Linked DNA regions of Lepisosteus oculatus. The protein of the gene in region 4 purifies or fractionates together with the protein of the main gene of each other region. This does not show direct contact. Links are inferred from orthologs where the notes say so. Each region holds a gene or a part of one and is shown on either strand. Other genes may lie near its edges. The genes, in order: ubinuclein-1, cabin1, tlk1a and histone chaperone asf1b-B.

Region 1 (7,945 bases), on a different chromosome or scaffold from region 4:
AAAAAAATGCTTTGCGTTATTTTAGTTCAAACGCATCCCTCTTTGTTTAGCACTTATATGAATATATAGTTCTTGAATAGTTTTGTCCTTCATACATTTCACAAAATATCACTATTATACTCATGTCCCGACTCTTTTACTACGTGGTTTAATATGCTGTATATTATAAGACCCTTACAGTTCCCCTTGGGAAAAATAAAGACATTATAAGACTAAATCTTAAAACAGCCTGCAAAAAGAAAAAAGTCCTCTGACCTTCGGAGACTTCAGTCTCTTCTTCTCTTGAGTAAAATCATCTTCAGGTTCAGATTCTGATGCCTGCCTGAACTGCAGAGTCCCAGAATTGATGTAAAATCCGCCGTATTTTGTCGTTAGTGAAGCCGGCACCAATTCATCATACTGTATCAATAAAAAGACAAATCCTTAAGTTTCCAGTGCATTTTTTACACAAAAGGCATCTTAAAAGACAAAAACTATTTTTTGTTGGGGTGTCTGTAGAAATGACTTGGAGCCCAGACATTTATTTCTTTTCAGCACCGAATGAACCCTCTACATGTTCCTCAGCAGCTTGCAAGCTCCACTCTCACACCTTACTGACAACAGGAATACCTCTAAGGCACACCGTGCACGACTGCTGTGTGAGGCCCTCGAAAGCACCACTCGGTCTCATAAAGCGCTCCTACGAGGGTGAATAGGAGGTAAATACCATTCAGAAAGTCAGAAGTTTTCATGTAACATGCACAAAGGACGTGAACAACAGGCATCTCTAGAGAAGGTTTTGGAGAGCACTGCGGACAGCAGACCAGCGGGCAGAAGAGCTGACCTCTATCAGCCCTCCCTGGTCGTCATTTTCACAAAGTCTGTCTGAAGAAGACAAAAGTGCCGGTAGATGAAAAACTTTCAAACTTGCAAGGCAGACAACTTACAGCCTCGGAGTTGTCGATAAACGGGTCTGTTTCGTCGTATCCGTATCCCATGTCAATCAAGTCCTGCACACGGTCCTTCTTGCGCTTCTTTGGACCCTGACAAAAGAAACAAGAACATTCACCAAGACGCCCTTTAGAATCTTTCCTGGGGTTCATAAAGGACAATACTAACATATTTTTCTTCAAACTTCTTAGCAAGAGCTTCGGCCTCTTGTCTCTGCGACGCACTCTCTTCCTCCTCCAGTGTTACTGCTGTTCCCTTGAAGGCATTATTCTGGGGGGGGAAAGTGAAGTGTTTAAACTGGGGCTGTTGGATAAGGCAAAACATCGGCATGCAACAATGTTTTCAGTACAGTGTTCCACTTTAATTGTATTGAGTTATTGTCGAATGTACAGTGAGTACAAATAATTTTAAATATTGGACTCTACAACAAAGTTTTTCGCCCAAGGTCTTCTTTTCTTGATGCTGATAGACTTCTTAGTTAGACGTTCTTGCACAGTCTCCACGGACGACTTGAACGATGGCCGTTCTCCACAGCTTACTTGAGAACGGTGAGATGTTAAAATGTTTGAGACCCCGAATCTTTGCTTTTGGTAGAGCGGGTCAGAGATGCTTCACATGCAAAGAAAAAGGCAATAGATCTACCCATTCAGGAATTCATACCGACTTGATTAAAACATACAATCACAAACAAACGCTAAGCGTTAACAGCGGGTTCACAATGCGCACCCCCCATCACATGCTTTAACAACTTCAGACTTTTCAGACATTCATTTCTACGTGAATGACTGGAAAAGCAGCCAAATACAGAACAGGTCTTTACCTTTTTCTTCACGAGTTCAGGGTAATAAAACTCTGGACAGCGCCGCTGATCGGGCTCAAAGAGGGCGAGCACCAGGCGTGCAGTTGCCGGAGACGTCTCCTGCTCCAAGGGGCTGCACACAGCGGATATGTCCTCCTTGGGGGGAATCTTTAGCAAACTTGAAGGAAGGGGGACATTGCTGCAGAGAGTGGTCAGCTGTACCCTGCGTGGCTCAGCCATGAGTAACTACGCGTTTCCAACCCCCAGCAGAGCGTAATCAAACTCCTGGAAGCACTTGTTTGAGTCTGTGCGTTTATATCTTTACCAGGCTTACATTTCTGATGTGTACTGAGCCAACAGTTATCGTTTAGACTCTACAAAGCCACATGACGTACAGGTAAATAACCCCTTTGATCCCGAAGGGTGCCCTTTATCTCGTATTAGGTCGAACTTTTGCGTGACACATCTATTAATTGCACACAACATTTTTGACCTAATTCATGTCTCTTAGTCCTGCCATCATTTATGATGGCGAAATAGTAAATACAACGCATGCAAAAGCAGCAGACAACTAACAAGGCGAATGTGGCACAGCACAAAATTGTATATCTCCCAATATCGGCTAACAAAAAACACTGGAAAAACATAAATGTTTTGCCCTGCGAGACGACAGGAAAAAAAAAGATGGGGAACAGTTATCCACGTTCTGAGTAGTTTTCACGTCATAAACATTTCAGCACTCAACAGAAACAAGCCACACTACTTCGGCGTTAAGGTATGCAAATATATTTTAGAAAACATTACGTAATTTAGTCACGCAAACTAAGCAATTCACACTAATTTCAAATTCATTTAACCCCCTCGATCTCCCTCTGCTTTCGCTCTGGACTTTATATAGGACCTTAGATAGAACCGGCGGCGTCGTCATCACCCTCCGCCGCAGCGTCGCACGATTAATACCTCATAATATTTACATTCTGGTAAAAAAAAACGCCGAGAATTTAGCTCTCGTGTCTCGGGAGGAATGTGAGCCAGGGGGCCATGTTGGTGGAGTTAATCCAGCTACCAAAGCCACAGTAAACCACAAACATGGGACGTCGTGGGCAGAATGCATGAAATAAGGGGGGTGTAGAGAGGTATTGCAAGAATATGTGGAGCTAAATAAAATGTTTACGTGTGCTTGCGTTTACTTGGTTGAAAGCAGGTTGTAGCACCGAGCAAGAGCAATAATGCGATTATTAGTATAATAAAAGGCAATCTGTAAATTACATTGTTAATGTTCTGAGAATCACCGTGATAAGCGCAAGACGGTTTTAAAATAAAAGAAAACACAATTTATCTTGCAGTTATTTTTTGTGTTCTTCCCATGTTAACGGTCTAAAACTGTTTAGTTACAGGTAACGGGTGCAGGAAACCTGTTGCGATGGAAGTTGCACTACACTGTACAAATTTCTGTTGTACAGATCTGTTTATTTCTAACGAACTTAAATATTTTTGCTCCGAATATCTTAAAGCAAGTTTTTTTTTAATCATTTAAACTTTGTAAACATTGAAACGTTCGTTTTCATAGTGCCACAGACAGTAAATTAAAAACAGTCATGTCAGAAACATTTATATAATGCAACAATAGAATAGTGGTGTGAGAAGAATGGATACTATAACACAATTAAGATTAAGTAGCACATACAGTATAAATATATAAAAATTGGAAGAGAAGAAGAAAAGGCAGATACTGAAGAGTATGTACTTGTCACAGTTCAATTAAAAAAGCAGAAAGCGTCCAATGCTTTATATTTTGCTGCTCGATATAATAGTCATCTGGTTTACCAATCAAATGAAACAAATCTGGCCCCGTTTCCATAATGCGGTTCTAATGTATAAGACACACCTGTTTTCTATTTCCGTTGCAGGTCTTACAAGAACTCCCTGTCACCAGTGTGGTTCAGATTTTTGTTTACGCTTTTATTCGATTGTGTCAATGTATTGTTTTGCATCAATTATTTCATAACGAGTTGGTAATTGTATAATTGATCTCAATTATGCTGATTAGTTAATGATTTCCGAGATGAGCGGCAACAGGGACGCCTAAAGGACGAGCGTTGAACACCAGCTTCTGACACCCCAGGAGGTTGAGTGGCCAAGAGCTTCTAACCGGAAATTTTCCTGTATCCCCTGACATCACCTTGATGTGCACATTTTTTTTCATCTCACAAAAATGTTTCTGTAATGCAGTTTTATACGATATAATCACGTATACGCACCAAAACGAAAGAGGTACGTCGTATTAAATCAAAATGTTTAAAGAAAATCAAATTGAAAAGCTGTAAACAATACTTGTTTTCAGTAGATAGCTAAAAATAAGACACTGCCCCAATAGAAGAGATCTATACTACACTTGGAGAGAAAATGGCGTCTGTTGATTTATTCCAAGGGCATATGTCGTTTGTAGTTCTGTACACGTTTTGGTCGCGCATTCTCCCAATATATATCCTGCTATTCTGGGGATTGGTGCCGAATTGTCTCCTTTGCTAAACGGCAATGTGCACGTTCACTTTTCCACTTCGCATATCCGGTTTTAAAGACAAATGTGTTCAGTGATGAGTATCGAAACACCTAAACAACATGAGGCTGATTGGAGGGCGTTTTCGATGTTTTTTTAATACGTAGACGAAGTGCCTCTACTTCCTCTTTAGCAAAATGGCTTTCCAACTCGCATGTGAAAATGGCGGGGTCGCTCTTTATAAACGTCTGTGGTTATCGAGCTCTGGACTGATATAGCCCGTAGCCAACGGCAGCAGTTTCATTGTTTCCTACGACATTTGTACTTCACCCGTTGCTCCTAAGCTCCCCAGAAAGCAAAGTGCCCCTGGCGCATCACCCGCACTGCATTGAGGTGCCGAGGAAACCATAGCGAGACATCAGCCGCCTCGCCTACGGTGCATTTTGCTGGCTGGTTGCTGCAGTAAAGCAACGAAAGAGATCACTCGCAGCGCTTCCCGGCCACTTTGAAAATGGCACCGTTTCGATTCAAATCGGAGATCTAAGCCATGCAACGTGTAGGTGGTGGTGTTAAGGATACAGGTCCCCTTTGCTATATTTTTGTATCAAAATAACATTTATTGCACATATATCTCACAAGCAGTTCACGGTGTGACATCAATTCTCTACAAACGGCTCTTAAAAAGGGTATCCTTTTTCAATCCGTGCAAGTGGTTGCTGGGGCTGGATTTGCAAAGAACAAACAGGTCCCTCCAAGCCCTGCGCCTTTGCTATGTAACTTTATTTTTTGGTACCTTTCCTTAGTTATCCAAACCCCCCGAACCCCTCCAGCACAGACGCCCTCTCCGGTAGGAGCAGCAGCTGTGCAGAGGCGCCGCGACGGCCGTCCGGGACCACGTGACGCGGGTGGGTGTGTTCTTCTTCCCTGGATGCACTGCGGCGTTTTAACCAACTTTCTAAGATGGCGGCCGTGCATCTGAGGATCGGCGATTTGGTTTGGTGAGATTTTTGTGCTTATTCGTTTAGTTTCAGCTGCATGACGTCTGCTGAGGGTGATTTAAACGGAGTCGCTTGCGCGGTGCCCTTGCTTACTTGCTTGAGCAAATGGCAGGTATTTCTTTGCAGAAATGATCTTGAAAATAGTGATTACAGCCAGCACAGAAACAGCGTTTCGTAAAAAAAACAGCAATCCGTATATTATTTTTTTTTAGCCGCAGTCTAGAACAAACAGTTCAGTTTTACTACATGTAGCACAACATTTCATATATACACCTTTATTAGTCTTGTGGCAACGTTATTTCCAGATGTTATCGCTTCCTCGTTGCTGAAAACATTTTATCCTGCTCCTTTATTGAACCCGAGCGGGAGGAACTTACTTTTCAGTCGTATTTCCTAAACTTTAACGTAAACGGAGACTTGATGTACATTCGACGATGTGACTTCACGTTTTTAACAATCGTGTACCCCTCTCTTCATTTTCACACTGTCAAATATAGGCGATTTCCCATGTATTGCACTTTGTTTACATATCACCATTTAATTAATTTTACAGTACATTGCAGCACACAGGCAGTCGTTGTTACTACATTAGTACAGTTCTCTCTGTTACCTAATGTTTCGGCCATAGTATGAACTAGTAAGGCTCAGACCGTCTGTGGTACTACATTTCAAACCATTGCATAATTGAAGTATCGAGAAGGAAACCATCGGTTGTGTTGCGTTAGTTGAAATCTTTCTTCTTTTTCAGGGGGAAGCTGGGACGGTATCCACCTTGGCCAGGAAAAGTAAATTCATTTCAAATCCGTGTTCTCTCCAAAGTTGCCGATCTTTCATTTTTTCATTACATTTTAAGTAGTGCACCAGTTCATGATGGGTCAGGAGTTGTTTTAAAGATGTTACAGTTGGTAACATTCCTAAATTGTGAACTATTTTTAGTGAAATAATGGGGAGGGTTTTTTAACATCCGTCATAACATGTTTAAAAGATGGGAGGGGGGGAATTCTAGTTAGGTTTTGTAAATTTTGCAGTTTTCCTGAAAGTGTGATGGATGATTGTGCTTATCTTTTCCCTGTCGGTGAGCCTTCTGTCAGGGTCTTCCTGTAAGTTTAATTCCCATTTTAACACCGTTCTGTGTTTTCTTTTTAGATAGTAAGTCCACCGAAAGACTTGAAGAAACCGAGAGGAAAAAAATGTTTCTTTGTGAAGTTTTTTGGCACTGAAGACCAGTAAGGAGTTCCACCCCCCCCCCACCATGTTTTAAAAAGTTACAAACGGTTGGCGATGGTTCTCTCGCGGCAGCTTTCTCAAAACGGCGATGCCTGTGTTTCTTTTCCAGTGCTTGGATAAAGGTCGAGCAGCTGAAGCCTTACCACCCCCACAAGGAAGAAATGATCAAGATCAACAAAGGCAAGCGTTTCCAACAAGCTGTGGATGCAGTGGAGGAGTTCCTCAAGAAAGCAAAAGGAAAGGAACAGGTAACGGCTTTGGATCGACTGAACCTGATGCACACACTGCGGTGCCATTTCTACATCTTAAAGGGAAGTCGGCCTTAATTTTTTCCAGTTTGCAAAAAAATCAGAATCTTATTCCTGTGCCGTTGTAGTGAAACAAAATCAGTTAAATCCTTGAGCTACAGTATAATGAGTGAACATTTTGAAATGTGCCTTTATTGCGTCGTTTAGAATAACTTTAATGTTTCCGTTAATTCTCAAGATTTCATTTAATTACTCCGTTATTGATGGGTCGTGGTGTTGGGGAAATAAGGCTGTTTCGGTGAGTTTCGGTGCCACTTTTGCTTGCGGTAACCTGTTTGTCTTTGCTCCCTATTTAGGCATCCCACAATTCCAGTAATTCAGAAGAAAGACACAAATCAAACGCCGCAGACGTAAAAGGCAGAAAAAATGCTGCAAAAATGGTGAAATTGCCACTTGATGATGATGAAGACCTTGGTTTGCGCCGACGAGGCCGCCCTCCAAAAGAAGACAAGGTTAGAGACGGCAAAGGGCACCTTGTACAAATACTTATTTAAGCTATTCCAGTTCTGTTCCTACTGATCACAAGAATAGTCCCTGGAAAGTATGTGGAATTGTGCTGTCCAACACTGTGCTGAAGCCAGCTTTGTTTGTTTGGTTTTAAGCTTGCGCAACAAAGTATTAAAAAGATGATGGCTACAGAGTCACTGAACCGGTTCTGTGAGCATTTCTCCAAAGGGGATTTGAGATCTTCATCTCTAAGGGGTGGTTGATGGCTGGATATAAACATATCTGTGTCATAAAGTGCAGCCAGAAAATCCCAAATGTGAGCTAATTGTTAAAATTGTTACAATGAAACATCAGTGAAATTACTTGTAATCGTTTGTTTATTCTCTTGGACAAGATATCAGCATTCATTGTGGTTTAAAATATAATAAAATGGCTGAAAGTTTTTGTACGTCACAACAATGTAAAATGCTGTTAAGAAATTGTGAGTATTTTGTGAAGCAGCTTGTATAAATTACATTTTAAAATACACTTTAGATTATTTTAAGTATTTGGCTTTTAAGTACTTTTTTAATGAATACTTATGTGATTTAATCAGAGTGCCTAAGTAGAACTTTGTAGAATGCAGCTTGCTCACACCTGCTACAGAGTTCAGTCAGACTTAAGTTTAAAATTCATGCTTTCTTTGTCTTTGTGGCACCTCACGGTGATTTGGTATATGGGTAGTTAACATGTTCTT
Region 2 (7,401 bases), on a different chromosome or scaffold from region 4:
TACCCTCCAGCCCCTCCACTGTCCGAGAGTGGCACTGGAGGCTGTGTGTCTTAGATAGATGCTGCACATTACACATATTACCACGCAGTTATGGGGAAAAATAAAACCACCACAGAGTTTTACACAATTTCACACAAAATTCGCCCAGCCATTTTCTAACCACTTCCAGTTCAGGGTCATAGGGGAGTCGGAGCCTGTCCCAGCAGGCTTAAGGAAGATATGGAAAATTCAGATACTTTTTATTATTAAGAGCCCTGCTGTTAAATTAAACAGCGCCTTAAGAGTTTCTTTTACACAAAGGAAGGTATCATCCTCAGGTTAGATTTCTAATGTTAACATATTTTAAGAATTTGGTAACAAAGTTGTCGAGTTTGGGGACACAATGATTGCGATTGGGCCATGTGAATGGCTTACAAATGGGGCTCAAGATTTCTCATTTTCCTCCTAATAGGATTGTCCTCCGGTTCTGGCCTCTCGAACCCTGGCAAGTTGGGAAGAAAGGGACTGTGATGACCTTCCTGTGAAGAATGAGGATACAAATGTCACATTATTGCTGCAGTGCACCACCAGGAAAGAGAGTGTGGATTGTTTCTTATACTTGACAGTTGTGTGCAGAATGAAGCACATTTTTCTGTTTAATAAATTCCTAGTGCTCCTTATATGTAACAGATATCAATGTGACACACTCAAAAATAAAAAAAAATATTATAAGAAGGAATGTTGTCTAGTCAAGGGATCCCTTTTCCAGATGTATTTCTTTATAAGGACGAACAACATGAAAGGATTGTTATAAATTCTTACTTATGGCTATGAGGCATTAAAAACAGAACGGAAGGTCAATATATCAGCAGCTTTTAGAGCACCTTTGTCTGCTGTGTAAGACTGAGATTTATCCTACACAGCTGGCTAGACTGGGTGTAAAAACATCCCCTGTGAGAACTGGTGTGATGTATTGGCTGGTTCTGTTAGAATAGGAGGTTAAAAAGAGTGACCTGAGGATATTCATTAGTTTAGTTAGATGCTGGTGCCTGGAATTGAATAAATAATTGTAGGTATTGACTAATTGGAAAAAGAGATTCTGTATTTAAGTGAGCTGAGTTCCTGACACGGTGTTAATATTTGTTCTCTGTTGCCCTGAGTTTTCTCTTTCTTCCTTCATTGGTCTGCTCTGCTGAACTGTCTAACTGTGAGTGTCTTCTGGTAACCCTGCATAATGCCTCACTCCCATTGAGGTATTACCACCTGAACCTGGTACTCAGAAAATCTTTAACATGTGTCTGCTTATAGCACATTGCTGATATTCTGATTGATACTCTTTTATTTTTTTAATTGCCACATTTGAAAGTCTTTATCTGTATATTTCAAGGTATAATCATCATGAAGAGAGACCTTAACGTGACTGTGTACGTTCACTTGTTCTATCATGCCCTCTTGTTCTCAGTTAGTGAAAATGAGCTCCGTGAAGTTGCCCCCCCCTACAGACAGCACAAACGATGAAATCCACCTCATTCGTTAGAGCTACGTTTGTGCCGTTGAAAGTAGCGTTTGTGCTGCTTTTGTTTCCGAGATATAGCACCTTCTTTGATTTTGATCAGTTGACCCCAGACTTTGCAGCCTTTACATGAATAAACAGTCTTACATTTAACCATGTTCTCGAAAATGTATTGCTTGTGTACTCGTTTCATTGCTGAAGAGACACCAGTTTCCAAATGACCGCTTGTACAACACGAGAGCCCATATTCACATTTTTAGGTATTGGTTTCAAGATCGAGATAATTTAACAATTAAAAACAGAATTGAAAGTACGAGCATAATAATATAACGATCATAGACTTACATTTATATTTTATTTTTGAAGTACAAAGCAGAAGGTGTTTCCCATACCTTAAATATACGATTAAAATTGTTCAAATACCACGTATTCATTACGGAAAGCAGCGGAGACAGTTATACTACAAATAAATGTATTTATTTCGAAGGGTACGGGACATTGTGAATCAATAAAGACGTCAATAAAAACAAGCCGATGTAGTTATTTTGCAAATAAGTAAAGCATTTTAAAAATAGTTTCTCATTGACAGTGAACAAGCCGATCCACCTGGCGCTGCTGGCTTGAACAGCTCTCGGACCCGTGATTGGCTAAACCCCCGAACAGCTCGGGCCGCGATTGGGTGAAGAGTGAGAATCGACACTCTGATTGGGTAAAGCGCCACAGCGGAAGTTCTGTGTACCGTGTGTGCTGTATGAGCACGCTGGATACACAGTAACAGTAACACATCCATTGGTTTCCGATTACTGATCAATCTCGCACAAAGTCGCCCTGAGGTTTAAACAGAATAGCAGACAAAGAATGTCATGGTATCCACAGCGCGTTCACGACTCCGATAGCATGTCACGATAGGAGTGCGCGCATCACGATCACATGGCGATACCCATTGCGACTGGCGCGACATTAAGTCCATATATTGCGATATGACATACCGACAAAACGCCCCCGCCCCCATGTCGCGACATGGAGACGGCATATCGCGATATAGCGTACCCCCAACAAAACGCCCACCCCCATGTCGCGACATGAAGACTGTATATCGCGATATGCCATCCCCCAGCAAAAATGCCCAGCCCCATGTCGCGACATGAAAGACTCTATATCGCGATATGACCAAAACTGCCATGCCCATGTCGCGACATGAAGCCCTATATATCGCGATATGACCAAAACTGCCACGCCCATGTCGCGACATGAAACCTGTATATCCCGATATGACATACCCCGACAAAATGTCCCGCCCCCATATCGAGACTTGGAGTCCATATATGCGACACACAAAGTCCATATATCGGGACACGTCCTATCTGGGTATATCATGTTCTGATATGAGACCTTTGTTGTGACAGTGGTGCCAGGGTGCCATGGAAGCAAGGCGCCACTCGTGATATACACTGCCGCGATATACATGCCTTATACATGGGGTCCCTATCATGACATGCTGCGGAGGTCTTGTCGCGATGGTATCCCACAGTTACGCATTTGGAAACAGCGTGTCACGGTAGGGAAAGAAAAGAAAAGCGTCTTAGATAATAAAAAACATTGATCTTACAATCACGGTGATTTTACATACATTATAACCACAGTTTTATGTCATAGATAGTTAACTTGTTGGCGTGCGTCATGTCTAAGTATAAATCACATCTAAGGCGGCTCATATGTTTATGGATATTGATTGTCTTTAAAATGTTAAGGGTACGAGCTAAACTGTAACAGAGCGCTTGAACTCGGCAGACGAGGTCAAAGTCGCTGTGCATGGTCATGTGATCACCGGGAAAACAAGGTGCTATATCTCGGGAACGAAAACAGCACAAACGCTACTTTCAACAGCACAAACCGGCACAAACGTAGCACTAATGAATGAGGTGGGTTTCATCGTTTGTGCTGTCTGTAGGGGGGGCAACTTCACGGAGCTGTGAAAACGCTAACAAAAAATGTCACTTGTACCAAGTATGTCCTGGAAATGTGGGGATTTAGTTTTAAAGTGGGTCTCATCAGCGTTATTGAGGCACCGAAGACCTGCCTTGGCTGAGGCACAAATAGTTAAAACCTATACATCTGATTAACAATGGGCGCTTTAATGATAATTAATGTAATGCATTGGTTTAATTTAATGCAAATGATAGCATTCTTCAGCTGTAATTACTTCTGTATGTAAACAAAACATTCACGTTATTTGCCGCGGTGTCCATGAATAAACTTGAAAATTATCTTGTCATTGTCATTTGTTCCTTTGGAAATATGAACATTCCTTTTGTAGAATAAAAAAAATAAATTGGGTTAAATGTGTTTATTTACAAAGCATTTTTGTAACTTTCACCTTTTTATGTGAAATTTAATCGAAGTTTATTGCTTTATAATTCATACTATCCCCTTCATAGCTGCATGCAGAATAATATTGTCTTCCAATTGGAGTAAAATAAGACACTTTTACCCTTAAAAATACCGTTGACAGTAGAAATCGAATTACAGTATTATAAGGATAATATTTCAATTTGAGTCTTCTTCATGATACTATCATTGATAGTGTTAATCTTGTGTTGTCTTGGGCCAGGTTTAAATAGCAATTACTTGGAGCAAAAGATGTTTAATCCGTTCTCTCATCAAACATTTTCCGATGTAGAGTATATGGACAATAGTCCACAGAAGTTACTTTCCACAGAACCCAGTCCTGCTGTGCCTGGTTACCAGCATATGAGTTTGTGATTGGCTGAATTTCACCGGCCAGACTGAACCAGTAGGATAGGCTGTTGCTGGCAGATGCTTCACAACAGACAAGCAAAGTGCAGTTTGGAAAGGAGCGCAGGTAAAGAATTAAAATACGTTTAACGCTATTTCATGCATCGTTCTGCGCACCTCTATTTATATAAAAGTCAACAGTTAGGTTTGTTTCTTTTATTTAAAACGAATACAATCTTGAGTATTTGTAGTGTTGCAGAACATGCTTGTGTCACTGGGGAGCTGATTGAGTTATTGTATAGCTGCGAAAGGGTGAAGGAAACGCACCAATTGATTCCTGATTACAGCTAAAAAACTGAAAATGGTAGAGTTAAATGTTATAAATACATGAAATATACTGAAATCTATCGTTGCCAAAATGTGGTTTTAGTTTTACTCGGCAAATTGTTATATTTCAAACGTTTACCTTAGCATGTGGGATATTGGTGTGCAGCCATATATCAAATTAATGGTGCTGCATGTAATTGAAAGTAATATTTTGTGAATAACGTGTTAATAGTATTAATAAATACAGTCCATTATATATACTTCCTGAACCCCCTTTCTTAGAATGATCCAGAGAAACATCAGAGAGCTTAAAATACTTTAACGCTTGTATAGTATGTTACGATTGTGTTGATAAACAAATGCCTGCAGTTTGTATCAAAGAATAAAACAAAAACATCGCGATAGTTCTGTCATAAAGCATTTCATTGAAAAAGGCTGTTTATTGCAGGTCTTCTCAACATGAAGTAAGAAGAATCTGGTGCTGAAGAAAACAATGGTACATTTTATTTTCTCTCGAAGAGCAACGTGTGAAGAAAACCATATTGATTTCTTTTAATTTTTGTATTTTTATTAAGTTAATCAATTAAATAATTACACAGACTGGCCTGCTGTTCTTCGGGGTTTAATACAAATTGTAATTGTTTTGATGTGAACCCCACACTTCAGACATAGCAGTGATTTTGAATGAATAATTAAATGTTATTTTATGAATCAACAAAGGAGTCATTCTTTAGGGTCTCAAATTCCACAAAGTATTGCATTGCATATTCAGTTTAATGGCACTTTGTAATATAATTATAGTAATATAGGATTATATTGAGCATGAATATACATTCAAAGTTTCACTCATTTTTAAGCTTTTTCTTGGTCACATTGCATCCTGGTAGGGGTTTTATTAAACTGGCTTCCTTCCTGTGTTGGTTTTTGCGAACCTTTTCCAGCCTAAGGCACATGTTTTTACGGCATTCACTAAAAAGTGATATGGTCCTGGCCGCAGCAGTTGCCTGCTGGCCTGGAAAAGCCGATATGTTTTGTCGGTGAATTATTTCCAGGTGGGACTGGTTTGGAATTGGGCAGCGCACCAGTTGATGTCTGATGGCGCGCTTGTTGGGAAACGCTTCCCGACGTGACACCGTGGCCTCTCACCCGGTCTTTCCCTGGAGTTGAAATAGGTGTGGTCTAGGCTCATCGTGACCTCCTGAAGGCTTGACCCTGGCTTTTACTTCCAGATCCGAATCGCTGCACTGAATGCGGCCTCGGCAACTGGGGACGAACACGATGACCTGCAGAAAACCAGGAAGACGCAGACCAAGGAGGCCCAGGTGAGCTCCCTCTGGCTTAATACCCACGTTACCTGCTCTCCTGGGCCATACTGTTCATAGGGTTCAGGCATTTTATATCTTAAAAAATATATGTTATTATGCAAAGGAACAAGTAATAGGTTTATTCCATGCTGAAAAGAGAAGAAAGAAAACGCAACGTTTCGGCCCTGGAGCCTTCTTCAGGTGTGAGAAAGACAGGGCAGTAAGCAAAGGTGATGTACAGTAGCAGGAGAACAAAAGCTGGTAGAGAGGAGGGGTGGGAGCAGGGGACAGACAGAGTGGCCACTCGGTGGTGTGAAATTAAACCTACAGTGAACAGAGAGAATTTAGAAGAAAATTAGCCTGGTGTTGAGACAAGGGTGTGATCCTAGCTGCAGGATCATTTTATTTTCTGTAGTCTTTCTGATGTGGGAGTTGGGAAAACCATTTTTGAGAACACACGCGGAGAGATTATATTTTATTATATTAATCAGTATGGAATATGCATGTGTGATAAGCGCATCTTCCTCTGCTCCTGCTGGGCTTTGATCCCGTTTGCCCCTGGGCTCCGTTCTGTCCAGTGACTCTTCCTAGACAGCAGATGACTCGGCCGCGCACGCCAACAAACTAGTCCTGCGCCAAGGCCGAGTTTTACACTGCACTACGCTTTCAGAAGAGGGTCACTTCTGTAACGGGCTCGGGGCATTGCTCTTCAAGCATGTGCCCAGTTTGCTCTTGTGTTAATGGGGGAAGCAGCAGTTTGGTAGGTGTTTGTGTATTTGGTGGTAGGCGGAAAGCTGAAGGTCTGAACAGTGTACAGACTGTTGCACAGTTTGAGCGCTCTTTCTCTGAGTAGGAGGCAGAGGCATTTGCTCTGTACCACAAAGCTCTGGACCTCCAGAAACATGACCGGTTTGAGGAGTCTGCAAAGGCCTATCACGAGCTCCTGGAGACCCCGCTGCTTAAAGAGGTGAGACAGTAATGTACACAATGGTGAATTGTCCCATCATCATACGACTTACAAAATACATCTTTTGCGTTGTGTGACTAGTGTTCATAGACTTACAGATCAGGTCATTTTACTTAGGATACAGGATAAATAGCAAATATTTCTAGGATCTTTGGGTGATTGTTGGAAAGTAAACTTGGATTCCTGTAGAAGTGGTGAGTAATGTTTTTGTTTGGGTTAATGTGTTTTGTGTTATATTTTTTTATGTGTACTGTTTCTGTGTTTTATTTTTGTTTCTCTGTGGGTTGAACATAACTGCTTGGAGGCAAAACAAATTTCTGAGAAATCAGATAAAAATATTATTGTATCATATCGTCAATAAAACTGTTGCTGTCTTGCACTAGGGAAGTTGGTAAATATTTTCAAATGGATGCATTTTCATTTTTTCATCTGTCCATCTTTCTGTCGGGCTATCTATTAATAAATACGCCAAATGTAAATACACTAAAGAATGAAATGAGGCAGTTGACTGTTGGAAACCTTTCTAAAACCCGCTTTTCACAAAAGTATGCTTTCAAGTTCCATGACCTGGGCTC
Region 3 (7,689 bases), on a different chromosome or scaffold from region 4:
GAGCAACACCATAAAGTCTTACGCCTGCTGACACTTTGATAGTCTTACACATGAAATTTCAGAAGAAAAAGATGGTCTGTGAAAAAAGCTTGCGAGTATCTTATGGCATGTACTGATGAGATCACCCTGTAGGCTTAATTTATACAGCATACTGTATTAAAGTTAAAGTTTTTAAATTTTAATGCTGGTACCCTTAAAATAACAGAACACGGATAAAAAAAAAACTGATGTCATTTTAATTGGGCACCTTTCTAACCCTAGAGGTCAATATGATGCACATAATGCATTTTGGAAATTTCTCCAAGCTCTCTACAAGAGGAAACAGACGAAAAGTGGCTTACAGAGAACTAACTCAAATGCAGTGAAGAACTCTTTACAATTCTGCATAAACAAGACCTGAATACTGTCAGAGCCACTAAACATTAAGCCCCTGCAAAAGCTACTGGTTGAACCCTAAGAACACAGGACATTTTAGCTCCATGCAGTTCGTGGCTGTAGTAGGTCCACCTGAGCCTAACTCTCTAAAATGACCAAATTAAAAAGAATCATCATGCTTTGCAGCAACTTGACACTTTTGGACTGGCCAGCACAATATAATGCAAGACCCCACTGATATGTGCGATGAGATCAGATCCTGTCAGTTTAAAACTTTTCTTCATAAGGGCACACACACACACACAAAAAACAGCTTTTAAACTGAGGAAAGAACACATATTGATCTATAACTTAGCTCCTAACTCATAACTACTTCACATTCCTGGCTCCCCTTTTCAAGCACAACCAAGGCAGGAGACAGATATCAAGTTAATTACACCACCTACAGAAAAAAAATAGCAAACTTTACATAGGAGCCTATACTGTAAAGCTGAAAAAAAAACTAATTTAACATAAGAACTGGTTTATTAATATGGAATTTTTCATAACATGCAGGTACCTTATCGACCTTAAGCTCCTCAACAGAACATATTTTGGGTCAGGGAGACTAATTGCAAATTACATAAGAACTTGTATGCGAGATCTTTTTGCTTCAAGCACGACGGGTTGATTAAGGACGGAGGTAAACCTCGTTACCATATCACCTTAAAACCTCAAGGGCATCTTCAATTGCCCATAATACATAGAGCATTGCCAAGCAGTCTGCACGTCCCTCTCTGGGGATGACTTGCTTATATAGAAAACACAGAAACACAATTAAGCACTAATTTGAAACTCACACTAGGTAAACTAATTAGAACCGGACACTCAAAACTGCTCGGAATAGTAAGCCTAGACACATATAAACTCCACCCCAATAACTTGGTTATCTAGAACGTTTCCCCACCATTTTAGCCAACGCTAGGCATTATTTTAAAAGTAGTGTTTGTTCAACCAGAGACTCCATCAACTGTGGTTACGTACTGTAATTACCTGCATCCAGACAAATAACTACGCTCAAGGCACCCGATTGCACAGACTGCATAACACCATCATGGAACATTTGTGCATTTAAATTAAAAATAAATTCACCGAGCAATGCAGTTCTGTGCGCAGCCCCCAAAAAAGACGTGTCTCCGTGCACCCGCACACCACCATCATACTATGTATTGTGTATATGACACAGTTTACTTACTGCAATAAAAATGTGTCATCCCAGACTTGATACCAAAAAAGGCGAAGGAAGTTGCTACCCTTAGTTACGTTATTAAACTCGGATACCTGGCATTCTGCACACTGATCAATCTCGCCAAACTCTTCTTCTCGAAACAAAATCCATGGGTCCTCCATGATGTCAAAAGACCCGACCCTTTTTATTATCAGACATCTTAGCAAATAAAAAAAAAAGAGGAGGCACTTTTTTTTTATTTTCCCATTGCTTTTCAAAACGGAAGCCGCTAAAAAAAAACACAAAACTGTGAGCGATTTCAATACCGTCTAGCTGAGAGTCGTCAGCTAATGCACCCAAAGTGTAAATAAATGTAGCTGTTCTTTTTTTCTCCGTATGGCCTCTTGAGATTTTTTCTTGATACTCCATATCAAGCAGACACCTATTGACTGGCTGCACTGTACAGTACCTAACCCACGGCCTCAGCGTAACCCGCTTGGGACTCATATTTCCAGACGGCTCGTCGCCCGCATAACAAAAACACTTAGCCATTTCTAAAGAAGATACTTCTAAGATTAATATAGTTTTAGATTACCTTCCTTGGTTTTCACAGGTGCCGTGATATGTTGCTGAGAAAGCAAGCCCGGTGTTGGGGACGTGGAGAGCCGGGACCAAGATGGCGTCCCCTCCAAACTTCCACCACTTCCACTGTTACTTTGGACACTCATCAAGCTACTTTTTGGAACGAGAAAGCAAACAAACACAGGCGTCAATGGCAGTGAAACCTCGTGATTTCTGTAACCTGCAAGCCTCTGGCATCAATCAATCATCTCGTATGATCCGGCCCAAATTGTAAAATTTAACATTTTTTAAACACAAACCTCCCTATACCTCTGCAGTGCGTCTTGAAGTAGCCTGTGTGTGTAACCTTTGCATTAGGCGTCACGCATCGCTTGTGCAAACACTATCGCGAGGCTCGTACACCTCAGGCAAAAAATTCTACTGATGGAAACGGCAAAACAAAGAGGCCATCCCAAATTGTATGAAATACTTCCCAAGTCGCACGCTCTTCATCAGAGGCTTTGAATGCATTAATATTTTCATTTCTCATTCATAAAAAAAAAATGTGTAAACTGCAGGGTAACTGTGCTCCGTGCTACCTGTGCATTCCTCCCAAATTTTATAGGGGACATTTTATTTCATCACCGCATGAGGATTAAAATATGCAGACACTATTATCATATTAATAAAAATAAAGACAGTTCCCTGGCGCTATTTCAATTTCCTGATGCACTACGATGCCATTTCCAATTCCTTATCGGTAACGTAGAATAACGTAAGAACTTTGTTTGAAAAAAAATCTCATATCGCGAAATAAAAACTTTAATGTACATACACACGAACATAGTTTTCGCCTTCCCACAATTCATTATGGTGGTTTTAAGTGACGTAGGTTTAACCCTTTGCGGCGGACTTGCTAGTTGTTCAAGCTGTCAATCAAACCGCGATCACTAATTACGATAATTAGGATGTGTTTGTGGCGTTTATGTAATAGAATAGTTTAATATGAAAATTAGCTGATAATTAAGCATAAAGTAAATCTAATAAAAATCCTAAAATATTGCAAAAATAAATTGATGTATATTTACTTAATACATTAATCGTATTAAGTAACTATATCAATGTATTGATATAACAATTCTTTATAAACTGGGATAAGTGAAAATATTGTTTGAAGTGGTATTTATCACTTTTAAATATTGTGACCTTTGATAAGTGAAAAGAAATTTGGTTAAATGAATGTACTATTTTGGGTTGCCTATATACTCTCCTCTCAACTGTAAAAACGTTTCACACAACATTAAAGCACCTACTGTACTTCGTGAACATCGTGCAGTGAAGAAAAAGATTATTTGCACCTTTGAGGTCCTAAGAAGGGTCAATCATTTTAGTTCAATGTTGTTTTGTTGTTGTTGGGGGGTCGGCATCGGTATTGTTAAAAAATAAATTTTAAAAGGTCAATGAAAAATTAATTTAAAGGTGTATATTAATAAAATGGAAGTATAAGAAGCATATTAATAGCATAATATTTGCTGTAGAGTGGAAAAATATAAAGCATGACAATGTATTGGCGTTTAAATACGACAAAGCAAAAAAAGTGTAGACAGCAACCAGGAATTATTTTGCAGTTCCGTTTGCCGATTAGGTCAACCATTAACTGGGTATTTTAGGTTGAAGGTCATATTGCACTTTTTGTATTTGTCTCCATTGATTGATCATGAAGAATTGATTTTGGATTACATGTAATGGTAAGATTGTTGTTGCAGCAGTTTATGAGTGTGAGTCTCTTATGGAGAGTTCTCAATTAGAAACTGGGAAACAAACATCTGGATTTTTATGTAATAAAATAAAGCAAGTAACATTGTATTGTATTAGCTGTTGGTTTATACCGAAGATAATTTTCAGATGCAAAATTAGAAACAACCAGGTTCACGTTATTTTTGTGCATTATTCACATTCAGCACACTTTTAAATGTCCATAGTTTCCTCAGGAGCTGGAACATTCGGTTTTACTGTATATGTTTTTTGTCCATCCAAGAGCCATGCATTTCAGAGAAGGAAAATTATTAAATTGTTAAGGTAGTTCCTTAGAGTAACCGTTCGTTTTCACACATTTTCCACTTTTTATGTAATTACATTCACTTAATGCTGGGAAAAAAAAATCAATAACAGGCTTAGAAAAGGGTAGTTTGTTACAGATTTTAAATAATTTAAATATAGCATACACCTATAAATCAGAAGAGTTTAAGAATTCTATTTTATTATATATATGCAATACATTTATTTTTCAAATATATGTATGGAATTTAGAATTTTTTTAAGTAGATCAACAAAATATTTGTTTTCAAATCAGTAGACCGTGTGGTAGCAGTGTAATGGAGACAAAAGATTGTTGTTGTTTTTCCCAGTGGTCTTTTAGAAAAATAAAATATCTACTCCTAACAACAAAGACATAACAGAGTCCCTAAAATAAGAACCCAACTGGGGTCAAACAGCATTAAAACACAGGGGTTAATAATTTCCTGTTGCATCTCCCAATCTGATCTTTTAGATGGTAAAGGCATAGAGAATGTTCTCAGCCAGTGATGGCTCACTTGTTGTTCTATGCACTTGCTATGCACAGATGGCTGTTCAGAGTTCATTGAAATGACTGTGATGCCTCCTCTCAGTAGAAACATCCCGGCCTTCTTTTTCACACACCAAGCTAAGCTTCCCTTTTCAACACACAGCCCAGACCAGCAAATCCTTTGGCACAAGCCTTTGTCTCACAATAGCATGCTTCAGAACTGATTCAGTGCATTATACCACCCCAGAAAAGCAAGTCATGTGGGTCAATAGTAGGCATTTAAAAATTCAATTAGGAAGCAATCAAAATAATTATAGAGGCATTTTTAAAATATTTGTTGGAATGCAGCTTTCGTTTTCATTCAGGGCATTTTATTTGTTTTCTTTTTTTACTACTAAAACGAAGGCATATTAATGTGCTACATCCTGGAATTTTCCACTTGCTGTGAATGACTGGTTCAGGATTGAGTATGCATAATTTTTCCTTAGATAAAATTCTAACACCGGTGCACAGCCCAAATGAAACACTGGGCATGGAAATTTACCTCAGATATACTATTTGTTTTGTTCGGGACTCAAATTTACATCTGGTGCTCAAGTCAACATGCAATATGAAAAATTAGTTACTCAAATTTACATCCAACTAGGGAAAATAATCTTAATTCAGGATAAAAAATCTGAACCTGTCTGATTTGACTCCTACTAAAAATTCTGATATCTGTTCTTCACATTGTGTAGCTCTGGTAGTTGTCATTTGCTCTTATTGTGAACCTTCCTAATTTGTCTCAGTATTATGACCTGAAACAGACTAATACCTTGAACAGATAAGTGCTTTTGCAATTTGTTGCATTGTGAACTTTCTATTCTTCTTATTGGAACCTGTCCTTGTAAACTGCTTTTAGATTTGTGCACTGCAAAAAGGCATATGCAGGACTTAAGAGATCACTGATAGTGCCCAACACAAGAAAGTTTAAAAATAAGAGGCTATAAGGCACATCTAGACTGTCCAGTGACGTCTTAAAAGAAATCAGCTTCAAATCATGCCTGGGTATCTTATTCCAGTCCATTCTGTGTAAGAAAGTGTCCCCTCAGTAGTAATTGGAATAGTAATTCCTTGGTTCATGTCCTGGTATTGGTCCCTAAAATAGTCTTTTATGTTCAAGATGAAAAAGATTGCATGAAGGGTGAACCTTTAAGTCTGAAATACATGTGGTCCCCATTCTCTGAAATAATTGCAAAGCAGCAATATTTTTTTTTTGCACCATTATGGTAACCACAGCTGTACACAACATTCTAAATGAGGTCAGTATTGACATTTTACACATCTAATGATCTGTTTGGCCTTTTATTGCTTATCCACCTTATTGAAGGAAAATGATGTGTCAATACTTTGCTTTTTCCATAGCTGCCTGTTTCCAATCTCACATTCATACTTTTTTGGTGGATACGAAAAAAAAACTCTTCAATTAGATTGTATTATTATCATCATCAAATGATAGTTCGGGTGGGTAGCTGCGTCAGCATGCGTAGGCTGCAAAGGAACAAGTTTATTCCATGCTGAATAAGGTGTCAGGCTCACATCTGAAGAAGGCTCCACGGCCAAAACGTTGTGTTCTCTTTCTTCTTTTTTTCAGCATGGAATAAACCTATTACTTGTTCCATCATCAAATGATGTATTATTTCCTTAAAACATATAGAGTGATTTGGTAGTCATCCTATGACTTGTACCATTTGCAAAATTGACTAGTTCACAAATGTCCAAAATGTAGGACAACTGATATACTGTAAGTTCAAAAGAACAGTGGTCTGAATACAGATCCTTGTGATACCCAAACAAAATATTAAAAAAAACTTTAATTGAATAAAACTGCTATTTGATTGTAAAGAACTGTACCACTCAAGCATTCATCATCATTTTGTGAATCATGCATTTTTAAGAACCTTCTCAGTATAACATATGAGCCTTTCAAGTCACTGGCTTTCTTTGTAGCTCAGTCTTGTCAAATCTCACAACCTAAGCAAGCTTGGTCCATGTCAGTAATGATACTGGAGACTTCCAAAGAAATCCAGGTTGGTACAGTGAGTGGCCTTGCTGGAATAAGTGGCAATCTTCTCTCTGGACTACAATTTCCAATCTACAGCATGGTGACAAGGGACATAGATCTGTAGGCAGTGTGCTGTCCTTTTGTTGAGAGTTTCAGGAGAGGTCCTGACTACTTCATCTGTTCATAAGACTAGTCATATTAGAATAGGTGTACCCCAGTATATTGGCTAAATTCCACTTCAGGTTTGGACAGTCTTACCTCAGTAAATGTCCCTCTCACTTCAACTGGTGAATTAACATCTCACTGTATCATGACCTCATCTGTTTTCACTTTAATTGTCTTTAAATGGCTATGAAGTTCAAATTTAAACACTCATTAATGATCTTTTGGAAAATGTAAAGTACTTAAAATAACAATGATTACTTACTAATGTGAAAGATAAACATTTGAATAAGTAAAAAATTCCATCACTGATTACAAAAAACTGAGAAGATTAATAAGACTGTCTGTACAGTCTAGATGTACAGTATGTAGTATGTTAGTGCATGTTAGAATCTCTATAAAAAGATGGGAACAATGCCAAGCTACAGAAATGTACTGTACATTAAAAGAATAAGCTGAAACATATACATTCTAAGGTCTACAGAAAGGGTCAACCCAGTTTGACATCTTCAGTAAAAAACCAAGGAAACATGGCAACAAAGGGAATTTATTTAGGATGGAAAATAGGCAACACTTCTTTACATAAAGAGTGATGGTTGTCTGGAACATAAGGTTGAGGACCAGACTGTCGGGTCCTCCAAGAAAGAGATGGACAACATTTTAGTATAGCAGACAGAATGGCATCCATTCTTATATTTGCAGGTTCATTTAAGGCTTTTATGATCATGAATTGCGTATCAAGGGAAACCTTTTGCATTCTTCAGAAAGCTGGCA
Region 4 (7,401 bases):
AGTTGCCATTTATTTGGATATTCTCTTTCACTGAGGAAGTCTGGGGCGGAGCGGTGGCTCTGTGGCTAAGGATTTGTGCCTGTGGCTGGAAGGTTGCCGGTTCAAATCCCACAGCCGGCAGAGGAATCCTACTCCCTTAACCCTAACTGCTCCAGGGGCGCCGCACAATGGCAGACCCCAGGCTCTCTCCCTATCATTGCTGTGTGTCTCATGGAGAAAATGCATGGGTATGTGAAAAGATAATTCCTAATGCAAGAAATTGTAAAGGGTTAATAAAGTGATGTTTTTATTATTATGTCTACAGTATTCCATCTGGATTAGTACTGACCGAAGAGACCCATCTACAGGCGAAAGGCGATATAACATCACAGCAGCAGCATTTAAGGTGGAAAGAAAAACACAAATAAGAAGCCAACTTCAGCCTCGTATGAAAGACCTAGCTACATGTGATCACTGTAACAGCGCACGCTGATTCAGGGTGCTCAGACATCTGAAACGTATTACAATTAATACCGAAGTGCCACCCCAAGGCTGTCATGTTAATGGATAAAAGATCAGATCACTTTATTGGCCATATACAATTTCATATATTAGGAATTTGTCTTTTCGCATACCCCAGCTTGCTCTCCATGAGACACAGACAGGGAGAGAAGCTTGGGGTCAGAGGGCAGAGTCAGCCATTTATACAGCACTCCTGGAGCAGTTGGGGTTAAGGGCCTTGCTCAGGGGCCCAACAGAGTAGGATTCCTCTGCCAGCCACAGGGTTTGAACCAGCAACCTTCCAGCCACAGGTGCAGATCCTTAGCCACAGAGCCACCGCACCACCACGCCCTGAAAATCATGGTGACAGCTGGGTTTGAACCCCCAACCTCTAGCACACAAGGCACACGCCTCAGCCATTACACCAACGTGCCACTTAACTTAAAATTAGGTAAAGGGTCTTTTCCAACATTTGGAACAGCCCATTCATTATATAAAATCATGAATGTCCAAAAATCACTATGTAATCAAATTACTTAAAAACCCACCAACTGTCGAGCAGGAATTTTAAACACAAATACAATGAAATAGTTTAGGTGTGTAGCTATGTCAGCATGCATAGGCTGCAAAGGAACAAGTAATAGGTTTACTCCATGCTGAATAAAGAAGAAAACAACGTTTCGGCTGTGGAGCCTTCTTCGGTTGTGACACTTGTTCCTACACAAATACAATGCCATCTTAAAGTTAAACGGGCTTGAACTGGTATGACTGAACTCTAAAAGCTTTGATCTTGGGCGCCAGAATATCGCAGCACAGCAAAAGATAAAGTAACATTGAAAATGTTAATTTTCAGAATTACTGCAAGACATTAAATGTGTTTAATTAAAACAACTAAATATATTCAGACGGAAACCAATATTGCCCCACTACAAATTAACACGTTACAAAGGTACAATTAATCATACAGTTTATTAAAATGAAAATATAATCCAAACTGTCACAGTGAATATATTTGTTTTTGAACAGTCTTCAATACCCAGAATATTTTAATATAAACTTTAAGAAGTAAATGTTTCATTGAAACATTGAACGTTATATTTACTTATGAATATTACCAAGCAGCTTCGGATAAACAATTCTTTATTTGAATACCTCTAAGTTACTAATGAGTAACTTGGAAACTTCAAAATGAAGACACCAACCGTCTCGGCGTCAAATTAATGTGGTTGCAGAATACTACCTCTAGCTCTGCGTGAAACAAAAGCTACTCCCGCAATTTCCATTCAATCAGGAGCTACAGTCATAGTAACTCGCTTAGGAACCAATCGGATACACAACAGATGCTAAAACACACGCCCCCGTATCATCAGCCGCCCAATCAGATAGAAGAGGCATGGATTCTAGAATTTTTTTCTGCTCGCTTGCTTTAAGTCCCCGCCGGCGCCAAAATTCAAAGATTACCATCTTTAAACTAAGTAATGGAAAGGACATACAAGTATAATTAAGAAAAAAGCGAAATGCTTCTAACCAGAGAAAGAATCAAACGAATTATCGCCGTCATAAATCTCAGAGAATCAGTTACTTTAAATTGCTTGCATTTTGACTGTTAGACTGCGGGTGAACTAGTTAGGCCTGTTCACCTAACTGATATAATATAGCCCTGACGTTTCTTGAAAATCTACGAGAATGAAACAATTTATCTGTAAAAATGTTGGAAAATGCTCAAGTTACAACTATTATAAATTCGTTCAACTACAAAACTAAATTGCTTCAAAGTACTAGCAAACAATAGATTATAAGATTATAATAGTTTTTCATAACAGCGCTTTACGATAGGCTTTCTACTCCACCTAAAATCTGAACAGCAAAGTGTCACACCAGCTCATGCAACAAAATTAGAAATGTGCTCGCCCCTTGAGTACCTACGATTTCTCCCCGCCATTTCGGCAGGACGCACTTTGCACCTGAGATAAGGCAGAAAAAAGGCTGCCCGACATCCGCAGCCCAAGGGAGATGCGCTTACCTTCGGGAAGGTCTTCCATGCACTCGAAAGTGATTTCAAACTGGAAGGGGTTTCCGAAGGGACTCGGGTTGTCCAGGACGGCAACGTTCAGCACTTGCACCTTCGCCATTTCTGCAGCTGCCCGGCCAACTCGCGGTGCAAAACAATAATTATCCGAGTCACTCAAAGGGACAAAACTGCGTAGAAACCCCCAAATCCCGTCTTTGCACTGCTGAGGATCTAGTTACAGAGAACCGTGCGCTCTAACAGGGGGTGACAGCTCCTTACTAAAACTAAAAAGTATATTTTTTCCTTACGAAAGTGAATAATTTCCTGTATTTATACGTCGCTTATTTAAAATGAGTCTTGGTACCAGATCTTCATTTTCTGCATCCACACACCAAAGGTTTTCGAAGTTTTTTGTTCCTGACAAGAGGGGGGACTCAAACCTTCAGATCCGGACAGAAAGCGTATGAAAAGTTTCAAAAATATGTTTCCCTCCAAACGTCACAAACCCGTTCCCTTCGCGGTCTGCCCGAGAGAAAGAAAGAAACTCGCTCCCGCCAGCGTTCACAGCAGCCTCCGCCGGACAGTAAGACTAGGAGCATCAAGCTTGAAGCGGATTGGCCAGGCCATAGCCATGGGACCCAGGAGAGCTCTGCTACCGATTGGCCAGCAGCTGCAGGAACTATAGCGTCTGAAACTGCTGGCGCGCTGCTGCGTGACGTCACTGTCGCAGAATTCTGTGCAAATGAGCAGATTCGAGATGTTTTGCACAGTTGCTCGTTCTTCGACTGCCATTACGCGACGTACCCATAATTCCTTTCATAGAGTTGTGCATAGTATTTGAGCTGCAAGCAAGTGCAGCAGGGGGTGCGTTCCTAAACTTAATCAAACGACCTTATGAGTGCCTAAGAAATGGGAATTTATCAGGACTCGACACCACAAAATGAGTAAATTACGTGCTTTATTTCAATTACAATGGCGAAGATTTGTCAATTACTAGATTTTGCTCTCTGTGTAATCAGTAAATTACAATCTATGTTTTTCTCAGAAGTCACCGATGGGAGAACAGTGTGTGTTATACCATTCCAAAAATTTAGAGTATTACTGTTTCCACTTACGTGATTTCTGTGTTTGTTGAAATGCATATCCCACAGCAGCATGTATAGGATGGAAAATCAGAGTTATCCGATTCTGGTTATTACTAAGGATATTTCTGTTCTGCTCACCAAAACAAAATGCACGGAATGTAATTGCAATTGACATGTTAATATCAGTTTCGCGATGTTTTAATTACCCCTACCACTGGCTCACACTGATGTTTTTTTAAAGTTGTATGTTCTTTAACTTTTTGTTGCTGCCTCTGTTCTGTGTTTATGTTTTTGGTATTTTCTTAATGTCTTTGGAACATACATGCAAATACGCATTGCACTTGTGCATATGGCAATAAACTGAACTGTACATAGAAATGTTTCAAATGAGAGGAGGCCATTAAGCCCATTTTGCTCATTTGATAGTATTTACTGTAATTGATCCTAGAATCTCATCCAGCAGTTTCTTGAATTAAGTCAAAGTATCAGCCTCAATCACATGGTTAGCTTGTTTCACACTACCACAACCCTCTGGGTAGAGAAGTGCCTTCTGTTGTTGTTAAATACACTTCCATGTAGTATCCACGTGTGCCCTCTGGTTTGTGTTTCATTGTTTATTCTGAAGAAGTCCTCTGGGTTGACATTGTCAATTTCTGTGAGAATTTTTAATATTTGTATCCGGTCCCTTAATATTGTTTTTCGAGACTAAAAAAGTTTTTTCAGCCTCTGTGTAGAATATTCCTTGAAGACCCAGAAAGCATCTGTTATTCTCTGGACTCATTTCAAAGCAGTAATATTTTTTTTGTAATGTGATAATCACCATTTTACACGGTATTCTAAATGAGACCTAACTACCGCAATACACAATTTTAACATGACATCCCTTAATTTCAATTTTAAGCTTTTAATACAGCCAAACATTTTATTTTCCTTTTTAATTTCTCCCCACATCATCTGGAAGATGTAAGCAATGTACCAACATAAACACAGATGTCTTATCATGAGTAGCTTCTTCTAGCTTAGTGTTTTCCAGTCTGTATTTATATTTTAACTTCTGGGTGATACAGTGGTGCAGTGTTAAACATTGCTTCTTCACAGTGCCGGGGCCTCAGGTTCAGTTCCTGGGGTGTTACCTGCATGAGGGTTGTATACCAAAGTTTTCTCTGGGTGCTACGTTTTCCTGCCACAGTCCAAAGACATTCGTAATGGTTAAAGGGTAACTGCAACGGTATATTTATATTTTGGGGTTAGAAAGAATCAGCATTGATGAGTGCATTTCAAATCACAATTAAAGTAAAATGGACACAGTAACAAATGAAAATTCCGGGAATAAGCAGCGCCATATTCTGCAATTCAGAATGAGGCAACAAAATGTTTAGTGATGTGAAGTAACCCGATTTTATTCTAAACAAGCAGGTTTGAGTATACATCTCTTTTAATGTGATAGAAATGTTGCTCTTGACTTCAAGATAGTTTTGCCGACAAATACTACGTGTTAACTCTGCACGCAGGTAACAATGGAACATTTCAGCAGTGAAATTCGCTCATACATCGTGCTACAGTAGTGTCACGATCGTAATCCCTCCTCTTAAGGGCACTCCAGCTCTTTCACATTTATGATGCCGTGTACCTGCCCTCAATCTTGCCCCTCCTTATTTATGCTGGGCGCTCTCACCAATCTGGGCTCTGCACTGGAAGACGAATGCCTGAGGCCTGCCTACCATCAAGTCGCCCTACATCCACGGCTTGAGGGCATAGGCTTCCTAACGGCGTCCTGACCCAGCTGAGTCCGGGGCTCAGAGCGCCTGGCCTCGTCATCCCGTTTTTATTCCCCATCCCTGTACTGGATCCCATTCCAGCTTTTAACTCTGTTTTGTCCTATCTCAGATGGATCAACCGGATTTGGACCTTGGACTTCGCCCTGGATCTCCCCCTGGACTCCGTTGGACTTGTTTGCCGTGGCCACTCCCCCCGAGCACCAGTTCACTTTCGTCACGCCCCTCTGTTTGTTAACCTGCCATGATCCTCGTCGTCTCCTCCCTGTTGTCCTTTCGACTTACTTCCGGATTATACCGTCTGCACAGGGTCCTGAACTAAGTTTCACGGGAGCCTGGACCGGCTCTGGTTGCAGTAGCCATTACAATGATTAGTGAGCAGGAAGAGGCCACATAATGTCACAGTTCATGGGAACTCTCACTCTTGCCCGTTCACAAAGTTCACGATTTTGTGCTTAATTGGAAATTTGTAAATCATTTCTATATCTCTATATATATATGTTTAATAATCAGTCTGAAAATAATCAGTCTTTAATTGATTTTTGTAAAAATCTTATTGTGAGAATGTTTAAGTTTGTGTTTGTTCTGTGTGTGCTCTGGAATGAACTGGCTTCCATCCAGGTTGTATCTTGCTTTATTTTCATTGCTTGTTGGCGTAGGCTCTGGCTCCCCCCCACCCTGTACTAGAAAAGCAGATTACAAAATGGATATATTGAGTTTAACCAGCTGCATGCAAAACCCTGCACTTATCTATATTAAATGTAATCTTCCATGTTTTTGTCCAGTCTTGCCAAGTCACTGCTACATCTTTTTTGTTTTTTTGTTTGCTACTAATACAGTTTGAGCTAATTCTCCTATTTTGGAATCATCTGCAAACTTGACTAGTTTATTAACCATACCGGAATCTAGATCATGTGATGCAAGGGGGGTAATGGCTACCGTTCACTGATCGTGGGCATGTTCATCGCTCCAGACACACCCCTTTTTGCTTGTTGGGGAATCTTTTTGCATTCTTTTTCTATATTTGCACGCGCAGTCTCTGCATTTAGTCTCTCTTAACACTCACTCTCCTCTGATAGTGGTGCGTATCATGGACCCCCCATCCAGCTGGACAGGTGGCACCATCTCTTTAGAGATCTTCCTAGCTTTTACCTACCTCACTCATCTGGAGTGGCTTCCTCCTGATGACACCTACAGAGCTTCCTTCTCCTCTGCTCCTTGAAGAGTGGGGTCCTCTCACACCCAGCCAGCCTTGGACTACAAAGGTCTACCTCAGGCTGCTAACATCATCCTTCTGACTTCACAAGGCTAGGCCTCACATTCACTTAGTCTTGCATTTCTAGAAGCTAACAAAGTTTCTTTCACACCCAAGCTGACTCAACACACATGTAGGGGTTTTATGAATTTACTGGGACAATTTATTACTGTAGCAGTAATCACGAGGTGATTCATTATGGCTATTAGAAAATAAATCGATCAGCGATGCACACACATAGATTCAATAAACAAGATACACTTATTAATACATAAATTGTGCATATAAAACACATAACAGTCTGCCTGGATAAAGAGAAGAGATGCAAAACACATAGAGAAACAAACAAGAATATGCTTCAGTATACAGTTTGGCTATACTATCATTAATCAGTTAACATTAGCTACTCAAAAGTAAATACATTACTCACATGAATTGAATTGATATCAACTTGTGTTGAGGTAACAATTGAATTCTCGACATTGGGTTTATCTATCCAGATATGGATTCATATTTCCAGGCACGGACACCAAAGACCAGCTAGAGGCTGCATCCAATCGCTGTGGCATTCAATAGGCTTAGTCCCGGCGTTCTCTGGCTCCCAGCCAACCACTCAGGGTGCAGCTCAGAGTCAGATGAATTAGGTGGAGAGATTTCTGCTGTGGCGACGCGCCGACAGTGTCTCTCTCAGGGATCTACTAGTAGTCCAGATGACTAGTAGAAAGTCTCTATGCACAGAGGGTGACTGTGGGTCTGAGGTGTGTAGTGTGCTCTCTGAAGGCACCAGTTCTGTAG

What was found.
Region 1: the proteins of histone chaperone asf1b-B (region 4) and ubinuclein-1 purify together in Homo sapiens (affinity purification with mass spectrometry; 3 studies listed by BioGRID and IntAct, counting the BioPlex papers as one, with this or other methods). This does not show direct contact. The link is inferred for Lepisosteus oculatus from reciprocal best matches to the Homo sapiens genes ASF1B and UBN1.
Region 2: the proteins of histone chaperone asf1b-B (region 4) and cabin1 purify together in Homo sapiens (affinity purification with mass spectrometry; 3 studies listed by BioGRID and IntAct, counting the BioPlex papers as one, with this or other methods). This does not show direct contact. The link is inferred for Lepisosteus oculatus from reciprocal best matches to the Homo sapiens genes ASF1B and CABIN1.
Region 3: the proteins of histone chaperone asf1b-B (region 4) and tlk1a purify together in Homo sapiens (co-immunoprecipitation; 3 studies listed by BioGRID and IntAct, counting the BioPlex papers as one, with this or other methods). This does not show direct contact. The link is inferred for Lepisosteus oculatus from reciprocal best matches to the Homo sapiens genes ASF1B and TLK1.

The regions. Positions count from the first base shown.
Region 1 is NC_090714.1:858,230-866,174, forward strand, and holds the start of ubinuclein-1, read right to left. Parts: upstream 3,057-7,945; 5' UTR 1,970-3,056; coding exon 1,751-1,969; intron 1,201-1,750; coding exon 1,099-1,200; intron 1,023-1,098; coding exon 927-1,022; intron 400-926; coding exon 256-399; intron 1-255. Other genes in the region: glyr1 (cytokine-like nuclear factor N-PAC), read left to right, coding at 5,190-5,227, 5,976-6,012, 6,374-6,453, 6,564-6,702, 7,059-7,214. UniProt on the Homo sapiens protein: Acts as a novel regulator of senescence. Involved in the formation of senescence-associated heterochromatin foci (SAHF), which represses expression of proliferation-promoting genes. Binds to proliferation-promoting genes.
Region 2 is NC_090717.1:9,546,279-9,553,679, reverse strand, and holds the start of cabin1 (calcineurin-binding protein cabin-1), read left to right. Parts: upstream 1-4,280; 5' UTR 4,281-4,355; intron 4,356-5,003; 5' UTR 5,004-5,048; coding exon 5,049-5,051; intron 5,052-5,784; coding exon 5,785-5,877; intron 5,878-6,712; coding exon 6,713-6,826; intron 6,827-7,401. Other genes in the region: ddt (D-dopachrome decarboxylase), read left to right, coding at 452-524. UniProt on the Homo sapiens protein: May be required for replication-independent chromatin assembly. May serve as a negative regulator of T-cell receptor (TCR) signaling via inhibition of calcineurin. Inhibition of activated calcineurin is dependent on both PKC and calcium signals.
Region 3 is NC_090707.1:16,290,569-16,298,257, forward strand, and holds the start of tlk1a (serine/threonine-protein kinase tousled-like 1), read right to left. Parts: upstream 3,018-7,689; 5' UTR 2,979-3,017; intron 2,578-2,978; exon of another isoform or gene 2,464-2,577; intron 2,318-2,463; 5' UTR 2,311-2,317; coding exon 2,178-2,310; intron 2,027-2,177; exon of another isoform or gene 2,012-2,026; coding exon of another isoform or gene 1,909-2,011; intron 1,721-1,908; exon of another isoform or gene 1,703-1,720; coding exon of another isoform or gene 1,696-1,702; intron 1,644-1,695; exon of another isoform or gene 1,629-1,643; coding exon of another isoform or gene 1,610-1,628; intron 1-1,609. UniProt on the Homo sapiens protein: Rapidly and transiently inhibited by phosphorylation following the generation of DNA double-stranded breaks during S-phase. This is cell cycle checkpoint and ATM-pathway dependent and appears to regulate processes involved in chromatin assembly.
Region 4 is NC_090706.1:21,997,584-22,004,984, forward strand, and holds the start of histone chaperone asf1b-B, read right to left. Parts: upstream 3,119-7,401; 5' UTR 2,613-3,118; coding exon 2,504-2,612; intron 1,801-2,503; exon of another isoform or gene 1,764-1,800; coding exon of another isoform or gene 1,721-1,763; intron 1-1,720. UniProt on the Homo sapiens protein: Histone chaperone that facilitates histone deposition and histone exchange and removal during nucleosome assembly and disassembly. Cooperates with chromatin assembly factor 1 (CAF-1) to promote replication-dependent chromatin assembly.